Linked DNA regions of Schizosaccharomyces pombe. The protein of the gene in region 3 interacts with the protein of the main gene of each other region in a biochemical or structural test. Each region holds a gene or a part of one and is shown on either strand. Other genes may lie near its edges.

Region 1 (3,759 bases), 2.0 Mb from region 3:
CAGTACTTAGAATATTTCAGAAAAAAGAATCCTTCCTTCGAAAAAGTATCGGAACTTCTATACTTTCTAAACATATCGACGTTCCCCATCGAGCTTGTAATTTCTAAATACAATCCATCAAGACAGTATGATTCTGTCCTATTCTTGGAATCAGTCAAGTACGGAAATCTACTTTTCGATTAAAATTGTTAACAAATATTAGATTTTTACTTCGGGTTCACATTATGTGGACTACTGGAGGTGATCTTCCGCTCTCTAATCCTGTATTGCAGCGCGATTTCAATGTAAAGACTTTCATTCATCTTCACAAGAAATACTCTAATTCAGGAAGTGCTGTTGTGTTAAAAAACTCCAAGAAAGTTGTTCCCAGACTTAATACAGTCAATTCATCGCTTGACTTCTTGCAAAACCGAACTCCACGTCTTTCTTCAATTCTACCAGATGAGATTTTTACAAAAAGACTTCCCAATCTACGGATTTTTTCTAATTTTATTAAAGTTTGTCGTCCGCTTATCTATATGTTGTTTATGTGGCATTGGAAAAGAAAGCAAAAATCGAGTTCTCTTAAAGTTCGACCTTGGGGGCCTTGGATTGTAGCGTTTGTTTTTGAAGTTATTTCTCAATTAATTGATCGAAGATGTGAATCAGCGACTTCTAGTCGCCAGGGGTTTGGACTAGAACGCCGGACAAATCAAAGTCAGTTTCAGCATTTTGTGGTTTGGGCGTTTACTCAAGGACGATTTTATGATGAGTTTACCAAGTATGTAATTTATTTGAAAGGTTTTTATAACAAAATGTCGTTTTTCAACTCACTAACTAATTTAGACACTGGATAAATCGTTCCCTAAGCTGGGTTAATTCAATACCCGTTTTTGGTAAATATCTACTTCTTTCAGTTGAGGAAAGACAAAAAAGTCTCGAAAATTATATATCCTCTGGTATGATATTGATATTTTTACTGCTACTAACCTTTCATTCAGTTAGAAACTATTAAGGAAGCCTTGATGACCAGAACCTATAGAAATCCTTTTCTTATTTATTTAACTCGGTGTTTTTCTCTCTCTTGATTTCAGTATTGTTAGTATTTCATTTATCTACTACGTCTTTTGTTGCTTTGATGATTAGTCTTCATTCTTCTATAAAACTCAGTACACTTTTATCGAAAATAAAGCAAAAGCTTCAACATTGCATGCTACGAAGATTAGCAACGTTATCCATACATGAGTCAATCAGTATCTGAAATCTGCGGTGCAGATATGTAAGGTTTAAATAAGACTTTAAATTTCACAACTAAAGAATGCTGTGTTAAATTCAGACAAAGGAAAAGATGTAATACACTGAAATTCGGATATTATGATGAGTTCATATCAATTACTAAAAAATGCATTTTGATTTTTTTAATAACATACTTAAAACAGTTAACGGCTAGATTACAAATTAAATCTAAGCAATATTTAATTCTACGTACTCCGCACTAGGCCATTTATTCAAAAATAATTTTGGCTATGCATTAGCGGTGAAGAAGTTAGTATTGAAAGTGAATTAGCTAGGAGAAAGAAAACTTCTAATAACTCAAGCGAAACGAACTTCTGTTCTTTACTACTATTAATCAAATATATTACAAAAAATAAAATTTTATAATTCTATTTTAGAATAACTGTTTAAGCACATTTTGTTACGACAAGGCTTCTCAATAAAATACACCTTGAACCAAGTACAACGCTTATAGTAAACAATCAATTAAGATTTCAATAATTCCAAAGTTTAAATTGTATTTGAAATGTACGAATATTATTCTTCGTTTTCCATTAATTACCTTTCGTTTATTTGTATAAATTAGTCCACTAGTTTTTGCTTCGAGCGATGAATGTTTCACTGCACGACACCATATGCCAAAGCATAAGCATATTGCCATGAAATGCATTTGTATCAGTTGGAAGACGAATTAAAAAAGAATGTCTTTTGCAGGGAAGATCAAATAAAGAAACTTTCATGTTTACTTTTTAATAAGGATTGTCGTGTTCCAAGCATTGTGCTTTACGGAGTTGCTAGTACAGCAAAGACTTTTTTATTGCGGACCGCTTTTGATTTGTCAAAAGAAGAAAATGTTTGGATTAATTTGCAAGACTGTTTTACAGTCGCTCATTTCTGGTACCGGATCCTTATAAAAGTCGGTGTTGACAAAGATATAGCATTAAAAAAAGGCATTAATATCAGTGGATTTATTTATTTACTGGAACAGGCAATGTCCAAAAGGGACTATCATACATTTTTGGTACTTAGTTCCTCTCCTATTTTATTACTCTTAAATACTAATATGAGTTATAGGTGCTGGATCAAATAGATGATTTCGCTGAGGCTTCTACTATTCTATTCTCACAATTAGCTCAGCTTCCGATTGTTGTAAGTAAATATTTACAGACCCACTGATTAACTATTTTAGGCAAACATTCCCAATCTGTCAATCATTTTTGTACTTCATTCTCACCCTGCTCAATACTTGGGAACATTGTCTATTGCAGTGATTTTTTTCCCACAATATACCCAAGCGGAAATATTAGAGATATGCCAAAAAACACCTCCTAATTTAGATTTTTTGGATAGATCTGGCGATAGTGTTTTTGAAGACGAAATTGAGCTCAGCGTCTGGATGCAATATTGCTCGTTTCTTTGGAGTGTTTTTGGAGTGCAGTGCTTAAATGACTATAGGTCTTTTCGTAGTGTTTTGGATAGATATTGGCCAAAGTTCATTCAACCTATAGTTGAAGGAGACATACATCCTGCTGATTATGCTCAACTTCACAAGCTGGCTAAAAACTTTTTAGTGTCAGATGCTACGGTTACTAAAAGACTTCACATAATCAACCCGACTGAAATAAAAAATCTTCTTGATTCCAAATCTATTAACTTGTCGCTCGTTTCCAAATATTTACTCGTTTCTGCATTCCTAGCATCTTATAATCCAAGCCGGTTAGACGCCCAATTTTTTTCATTTTCTAAAACTTCGAAACGACGTGGAAGAAAACGTAAACAAATTCAAGATGAAGGGGTTTTATTTTCCAAAATACCAAGAACCGCTGGGAGCAAAGGCCGGTCTGCTGTAAAAATATCCCAACTTACATTAGGACCTAAACCTTTTGAAGTAGAAAGGTTGATTGCTATTTATTATGCCATTTCTTCCCCGGTAGAGAAAGTTCTGACCGCTGATGTTTTTGTTCAAATAGCTACACTCGCCTCCTTAAAAATGATACTTTCGGCTTCCAAAGGTGTGCTTCGCTCTTTGGATAGCCCTAGATACATTGTCAATGTCTCTCGCGAATATGTATTAAAAATCGCAGATTCACTTTCGTTTCCTCTCGATAGTTATTTGGCGGGATAGCTTAGTATTATGGTTTATTTTATTGCATTACTGAAATTTTGAATATCGTAGTTCTGTCACAATTCATTAATTTATACAGAACTATATGAACATCCATTCTATCTCCCCATAACATGTTATTTTACTGTTTAAAGGGCCCAAAACTTAAAAAACATATTTTTTTTTGTTACTTCTGGAAAATAAAAGAAAATGTACACTACAAACAATTCGATTACGCCTCTGTGATTCTGTGTAAACTGTTACGTATTTAACATTATGGAAGTTGGCAAAGCTGTAAAAAGCAAAAACTAGCGCCGAAAACACTCTTGACAAAAAAATAAAGTAATGTGCTGCTAAGATGGATACATAATATATATCAAGAGGCAAAGTTTCAATCATAA
Region 2 (3,759 bases), 940 kb from region 3:
TCAGCACGAAGAAGCATCTGGTCTGTTCAAATCCTTAACACTACTCCCACTACTTGCTTTTTCCTCGAAAACCACGCATAAATATTTAGTCATTATCCATTATTAACAATTATCATTTTTAAGGATTTTTAATCGTTTAAATTCTTGGTAATTTACTGATGGTAAAATGTCTATGCGATTAACTTTCAAGGGAGACAAAAAGATGTAAGATAAAATGAAATAACTGCTCGAATGTGGTAATTCATATTATATTGTTCATCACTAACAAGAAATCAGTCAAAAGAAGAAAAAAAAGAACACAAAATCACTTCAATCTTCTCTAGAATCAGCTGAAAACGATCCTTTTTGGACGGACGCAAACGAGCTAAATGAGCTTGAGGGTCCAGCGGTTATATAGTAAGCTTAACTTCAATATTCTTATACCTTTTTTTCTAATTTACTTACAACTTTATGTAGTAAAATAGACGATGATGCTGGTGTATCTCTTGGAATTGAAGAAGTTAAAGAAAGTTGCGTTCTTCTTCCCCTCGACAAAGTTTCGCTAGAGCCAGAATTGACGCGCCAGGTGTTTTTGTTATCCATACTGAACAATACTATACTATTGAAAAGCTGTTTAGGTAAATACATGTCATGTAGTAAGTCTGGAGACTTGTATTGTACGCAAGAGGCGGTAGGATCACAGGAACAATGGATAGCGGAGAATCTGGGCTCAGGATTTTGGGCTTGGAAAAGTGTATCAACGAAAAAATATTTAACATTAAGTAGAGAAAAACAAGATCAGGCCATTGCATGTGTCTCTGACACTGTCATTCCTGAAGCCAAATGGAGAATTCGAGTACAAACTCGTTTCCTAAAGAAAAACAAGTCTTCTTTATTTGACAACCCAACCATACATTCCAGACAATTAGAATCTATGTAAGTTATGCTATTCTATTTTATTGGGGTTTCCCTTCTACTTTCGTCATTCTAACTTTGTAATTTTACAGGGCTGGAAGAAAACTTTCTACCGATGAAAAAAAGACCCTCAAAAAAGCGTTTAAGGAAGGAGTTCTTCATGAAGCATTACTAGATTTACGAGTATCTTCAAGGAGCGACAAATATGGTTAATTTTTCGGATATTCTTGATAAACCATTAATATCTTGACTTACTGATTAATGTACGATTACCTGCTGGACCAAAGCTAGCAAAAACAGATTTGATTTTTTCTCTTGAATTTTAGGCACCTTGTATAGCTATTGAGACTCCTTTCAGCTATTCACTACTTTTATGTATGAATTTACAAAGCTTTATGGTAATTACTCATTTCAAAAGTGAAGTGTTTTACTTCATTCCTTAATTTTAACGAACTATTTTTTTTTAATAAAAAATGAATATTTAATGAATCTGTTGAAATTCATTCCCTTCATACATGTATGGTTTTACAAATAAATGCAACAAGTAAATAATTATAGTCATCAGCATCGCTTGAAAAAGATTAAAATAGTTTTAGATTATTACTACTATTACCTAGTCATTATTTCAGCTTCAAAAATATATTTCTATACTGGCCCTGTCCTTAAGGCTGTACGCCAATCTTACTGCTCACCTTTACCAAGAATCGAAGTAACACCCTGCATCTGTCAAGTCAAGAGGAAATTGAAAAAAATAATTAGAAAAGAGACCAATTAATTGCATTTGTTAATAAAAAGGCTAAATTTAGAGGATCATTATTTTTACAGTGTATAAAAACCATAGGGATGTGCATCTTCAAGTTTTTAATATGAGCTCATCCCCATTCACAAATCTTGGGAATTTGGACACAGAAGCAATCTATGAAAATAAGGAAAATGAATACCAGACAAACATAACTAATGAGACCTCAAATGTTCAAAATTTATCAAGTGGTAATGATGATCAGCAGTATCCCAATTCTACGAATGATGATGCAAATAATGGATTAACTGCCTCTCAAGCAAAATTGCAAGATATTGCCGCTGTCACTTTATTTCAGGATAATAATATTTCAACTACGACTTTAGCTCCGCCTTCACCTTCACCTTTGCGTCTCAATGAAGCTCCTCGCAGACGTGGAAGACCTCGAAAATATCCACCAAAACCAATTGACGAAGGATCGGAGCCTATAATCAAACGGAAGCGTGGCAGACCTCCAAAAATAAAAAGTTCTTCTCCTTCCACAAAACTAGATGATCCCTTAAAGCCTAAAAGAGGTAGAGGACGTCCTCGTTTACATCCTCTCCCAGTAGTGCAACCGTCTGTAGATGAGGGAACAACTCAAAATAATCTACAGATGGGGTTAGATGAGCCGAATATCATAGAAGGTTTTGCCGAAGGGCATGCCAATTTAAGTGAGCTGAAGCCAAAGAGAGGGCGTGGACGACCTCGAAAAATAAAACCAGAAGAAGGGAGCTCAAGTCAAAATGGGCTTTCTCCTTTGGTAGTATTACCTGCGAAAAGAGGGCGCGGGCGTCCACCTTTACATCGATCTGAACAGAAGATTGCAAATACTCCAATTTCGAATAATGTAACGGTTGAATCGACAGGTACAAATCTACATACTCATTCACAGTTGAATCCAGAAAATGAACAATCTTCTTCTGAATTCTATTCATTGAATCCACAATCTGAAATACGGAAGGAAGTTGTAGTCACAGATCAACCTTTATTTTCTACTGCAGACGTCCCAGTAAAGCGGAAACGTGGACGACCTCCTTTAAATAAGCCCAAGATACTTTTTGGGACAAGTACTGAAAATAAAATAGATGAAAATAGACCCAAACGAGGTAGAGGAAGACCTCGCCTTGAAAGACCGAGTGGCTTGCCTTTAGATTCAAAATCACAATCCCTTTTTAAAAGAAAGCGTGGTAGACCTCCAAAAATAGCTAGTGGAATTGTACCTTTAAGCGCCTTTACTAGAAAACATGAGGATATGCTTCATGACTCAGACGCGTTGTCACTTAAACATTTTGCTATTACATCTCCTAATAATCAACAGTTCCTTAATAATCAACAGCGAGAATCAGCTCCGTTGCTTCCTAGAAAACGTGGACGACCACCGAAAAAGCGTCAAGAGAATGCGGAAATTCGTAATATCACACCTGGTTTAACCGATTCCTCTGTTCACTCCTCTTCAGCAACTCCGCAATCCGAATCTTCATCACCCAATTCAGTTTCTCCACTACTTCCTTCATCTGACAGATTACCCCTTCTTCGACAATCTCAATTTACACCTCCTCCCAAAAAACCTAATTTCGAAGTTGCTATTATTTCTCCTAAAAAGAGTCAGCATAAACTTTATCCTAATCCTGTCGTTGAGTCTGTATTTAATGACGTCCCATATTCTGAAATTGACTCACAGTTACATACTATTAAATCTACGATTGCTGCAAGGTTGTGTGGGAAAAGCCATATCCCTCTTGTAGGACATATGGATGAACAGACAAAGCTTTATCAATGGGTCCGACAAACTATAGTACTTGGCGAAGGTAATTCTGTCATTATTGTCGGTCCACGGGGTTCTGGAAAATCAGTTCTCGTGGATGATATACTATCACGCGCAGCTCAGGAAATAAATGAAAAAAGTTATGTCGTAAGATTGAATGGTACGTACCAGACAGATGACAAACTAGCTTTGCGTGAAATATCGCGACAATTATCTATTGAACTTGAATCTATCGAGTCTGATGAAGCATTAAAATCAGAAATGAACTTTTCTGATACACTTACAAAATTGTTAGCTACATTGTCTCATCCCGTGGATT
Region 3 (3,426 bases):
TGCACATCATTATCATCGCCTGCACTCGTTCTCTCTCAATAAAAAGATCCATCAAATAACCTCCCATGTTGGGAGCGACTAAATATAGATGGAAAAATTTATAGTAATCGCCAGTAGCCATCGCCGAACGGACTTCTAATGCATGTGTAACAGCAGCGTTTGTTTTGTCTTCTTCTTTTAGATTGGCGAGAAGGCTATTCATTTCTATAAATTGTTAATAATTTGAATTCAAAAGATATATTCTTTTAAGCAGTAAGCCGTAATTAACTTACCAGATCGATTTTTAGTGAAGAGCATATACAGAATACGATATGCTAAAAATTCCTTAGTATTCCCTGGTATACCAAAACTGTAAAGATGAAATAATTGAGTTTGACATTGGTTATACTCGCCAACATCACCCTAGTCGAACGTTAGAAGAAGAAATGATATTTTAAAGTAATTAACCGTACCTTTTCAAGAGCTATACGAGCATGTATTTCGTAAACTAATACAGAAAACTCATTTTGAATCCTTTGCACAGTTAAATCCTGTCTTAAACTTTTAAATTGATCGCATATATATGCATAGTTTTTCTCTTCTTTCCATTTCTTCTTTAAAAGTTCGAGAGTTTGCTTAAGAACTGGAAGGGGTCGAACAGTATCCGGATCAGGAGCCGAAGTTAATCGCAAATACCTTTTCTCTAATTCTGTGGACCGTCCTATAATAGCACCATTCTCCGGGTTGACTTTTAGCTCTTCAGATTTAGCGTTATTTTGAGAACGAGAACCATTTTCAAACCTTCTTCTTCTTTTTTCTTTCTTATCCACTTCATCTTCTTCACTTAAAAGTGAAAATTGATTTCCAGAAACAGGCTTCTCAACCTTTCTTTTTTTATCTTCGATGATTGTATTTTGAGCATTTGTCAGTTTCCTTAGGGATTCTAAATTCATAGAAGACCAATCAACATTCCATATGTTTCCCATTTCGTATTGACGAGAAATTAGCAATTTTACTTCATCCTCTAATTCTGGCTGGCTGTTTTCCTCAGCGTCTTGGATGCATCTACCAATAAATTCTTTCAAAGAGTCCGGCCAAGGGCTATGATGTTCTTTTTTCATATTTAATATTTTTCATTGAGCTATATGATTAATGCTAAAGTTAAGTACTTTTCTCAACTTCCTCAATTGCTAAAGTGGTGAGTACCGAGATTGTATGAGAAGTGCGAGTCCGTCAGCTTAACCCTGTCAGTAACGTTGTAAGTCGATTTCATTATCCAACCTTTCAATCAATAAGGATTAATTTATTACTATTCAGTTGATCGTTCATCATTTTTTCCTTTAAAAATTTAAAAAGTCATCAAATAATTCAACGGTTCCACCTAAACTTGTTTGTTCGCTTAAAATTTATGAAACCAACATGGAAAGTAGTTAATATTAACTCACGCTATTCACGCATATTTTATTCTGTATGCCTCATATAGCCTTGATTAAACTACTAAAAGAGAGTAATATACCGAATTATCAAGCCTAAAACACTACCTCCCAATAAAGCAATCGTAATTCATTATTAAATAAAAAAAAATTTGAAGACTGCTTCGAAAGTTTTGTAGTAATATCTTGAAGAATGTAGGTCTAAATTCTAAGCTTTTGGTGACATTATTTAAGATAACTAGCAACCGGAATGATTAAGCAAGAGTCATATTAAATAAGTACGGAATATAAACACCAAATTCAGTGGTGCATCAAGTAGATAGATTTTATATTTTTGAAACAGCTGGTAGTATTAGCAGCATTAAAAACATCGTTTAAATGTCTCTGTATTAAACACCATATTGACATAAAACAAACTAAGCGTTCACCACTATTATGATATTATGAATGATTACATGATTTCAATAATTAATAATCAAAATTAAATGATAAAAGTTTTATTAAATATATTCATTTTCTCATGGAGCGACAACAGATTATAGAGTCTTTACGCAGAATAATTCCCACTGAAAGTACAGAATATAATGAACGGCTTATTAGTTTAGGAGAGTCATTTTTGGAATGGTCCAAATATAAACATAATCTAAAGGCGACAGAAGAGTTATGCCGTCCTTATATGGCAGCGCACTTAGCTTGTGAACTGTAAGTAACTTCTGATGTTTAATTACTCTACTTGAACTTGTTCTGACTCTTTAAAAAGATTATCCAATGATTTAAATTTGGAAATAAATTTACTAGCGACTCCAATTCCAAAAAAGAAATACTATAAACTTTTCACTTACTTTCAAGAAATCTTATCTCCATTAACTAAATCCTTAGCAGCTAAAGATGATCTGATGGAAACCATTACTTATCTTTGTACCAAACTAGGGGGCTCAACTGCTATACCTTATGTTAAACAATTGGTGAAAGCCGTTGTTACAAACGACATGCGCATCGAACACAAAAGAGGCATCATAATCGCAGCTTATTTACTAGTATCGGCAAAAGCTTTTGGAAAAGACGAACTTCATATAAATCACACCGAGAGAAGAAAGGCACAGAGTGTTTTACAGGATACAAGTTCTGCATTGCAAATTCAGTATTGGATGCATGTCCTCTCAGAAAGTTGGCAGTATAAAGAAATCCCTTTAAATGGTATAGAGGGTTATGAATCTCAAAAGCAACGGATAAAACCTTGGAGTGGGATAGCAAGCATGATTCAAATAGATTACGAAAAACGACTTCAAAATTATCCAATATGGAAGGCCTGCATTGAAGAAAGAATCCAATATTACAAAAGCCAGCTTGAAAAAGATGGTACTGCTTCATGAATACAATTTACTATATTAATTTTTTTTTGTACATTAAACAACATTTATAAACGGGTACACGATATCTTTAGTGATATATACAAATACATGAGTAAAAAAAAGTTAAATTAGACTCTAAGCTTTACTAATAGACCACTCCAAATTTGTAATAGACACTTCTGAAGAGGCATTTTCATCATAGTCATACCAATCATCCTCTAATACTATTTCGTCAAAAAGTGTATTACTTTCAGCACCATTAGCTATCCATTCTCCCTGAGGAATGAATTCGACTAGTTCACATCCTCTGCATTCCAATACGAGAACTTTTTTCGTCTCTTGAGAATCATTGTAAGGAGAGAATGGCCCCTCTATAACGAAAGAGCAAGTTTTGCGACAATTTTTGCACGTCCATATGAGATTAGCCTCGCCCTTGCTGCCAGGTATGCTGTGAGTCTCGCTGCGGGAGATTTCAATGGCATTGTCGTGAATCTCTCGACAACCACTACATTGGACTTTAAAAGCATAATAGAAGGATTCTTCATCCTTGGGAGCTAAATTTTTCACACCAGTCAACTCAGCGTTTAAGTTAAGAGCAAATTTTCCCATATTGCGAAAGAAACTCTAGGAATGCAGCTTAACAAGCCGTTATATGTAATAAA

The links.
Region 1: the proteins of orc6 (region 3) and orc5 form a complex in vitro, tested with the Schizosaccharomyces pombe proteins (3 studies listed by BioGRID).
Region 2: the proteins of orc6 (region 3) and orc4 form a complex in vitro, tested with the Schizosaccharomyces pombe proteins (4 studies listed by BioGRID).

Annotation. Positions count from the first base shown.
Region 1 is NC_003423.3:952,436-956,194, reverse strand, and holds the start of orc5 (origin recognition complex subunit Orc5), read left to right. Parts: upstream 1-1,877; 5' UTR 1,878-1,918; coding exon 1,919-2,275; exon of another isoform or gene 2,276-2,328; coding exon 2,329-2,403; exon of another isoform or gene 2,404-2,443; coding exon 2,444-3,379; 3' UTR 3,380-3,759. Other genes in the region: Pex16 family peroxisome import protein, read left to right, coding at 1-158, 203-760, 826-938, 981-994. UniProt on the Schizosaccharomyces pombe protein: Component of the origin recognition complex (ORC) that binds origins of replication. It has a role in both chromosomal replication and mating type transcriptional silencing.
Region 2 is NC_003423.3:2,023,783-2,027,541, forward strand, and holds the start of orc4 (origin recognition complex subunit Orc4), read left to right. Parts: upstream 1-1,605; 5' UTR 1,606-1,760; coding exon 1,761-3,759. Other genes in the region: FRG1 family mRNA-processing protein, read left to right, coding at 167-204, 277-396, 457-915, 987-1,107. UniProt on the Schizosaccharomyces pombe protein: Component of the origin recognition complex (ORC) that binds origins of replication. It has a role in both chromosomal replication and mating type transcriptional silencing.
Region 3 is NC_003423.3:2,965,423-2,968,848, forward strand, and holds orc6 (origin recognition complex subunit Orc6), read left to right. Parts: upstream 1-1,830; 5' UTR 1,831-1,932; coding exon 1,933-2,114; exon of another isoform or gene 2,115-2,171; intron 2,172-2,172; coding exon 2,173-2,785; 3' UTR 2,786-2,840; downstream 2,841-3,426. Other genes in the region: iss9 (nuclear export factor), read right to left, coding at 1-204, 273-402, 453-1,100; protein ess1, read right to left, coding at 2,900-3,373. UniProt on the Schizosaccharomyces pombe protein: Component of the origin recognition complex (ORC) that binds origins of replication. It has a role in both chromosomal replication and mating type transcriptional silencing.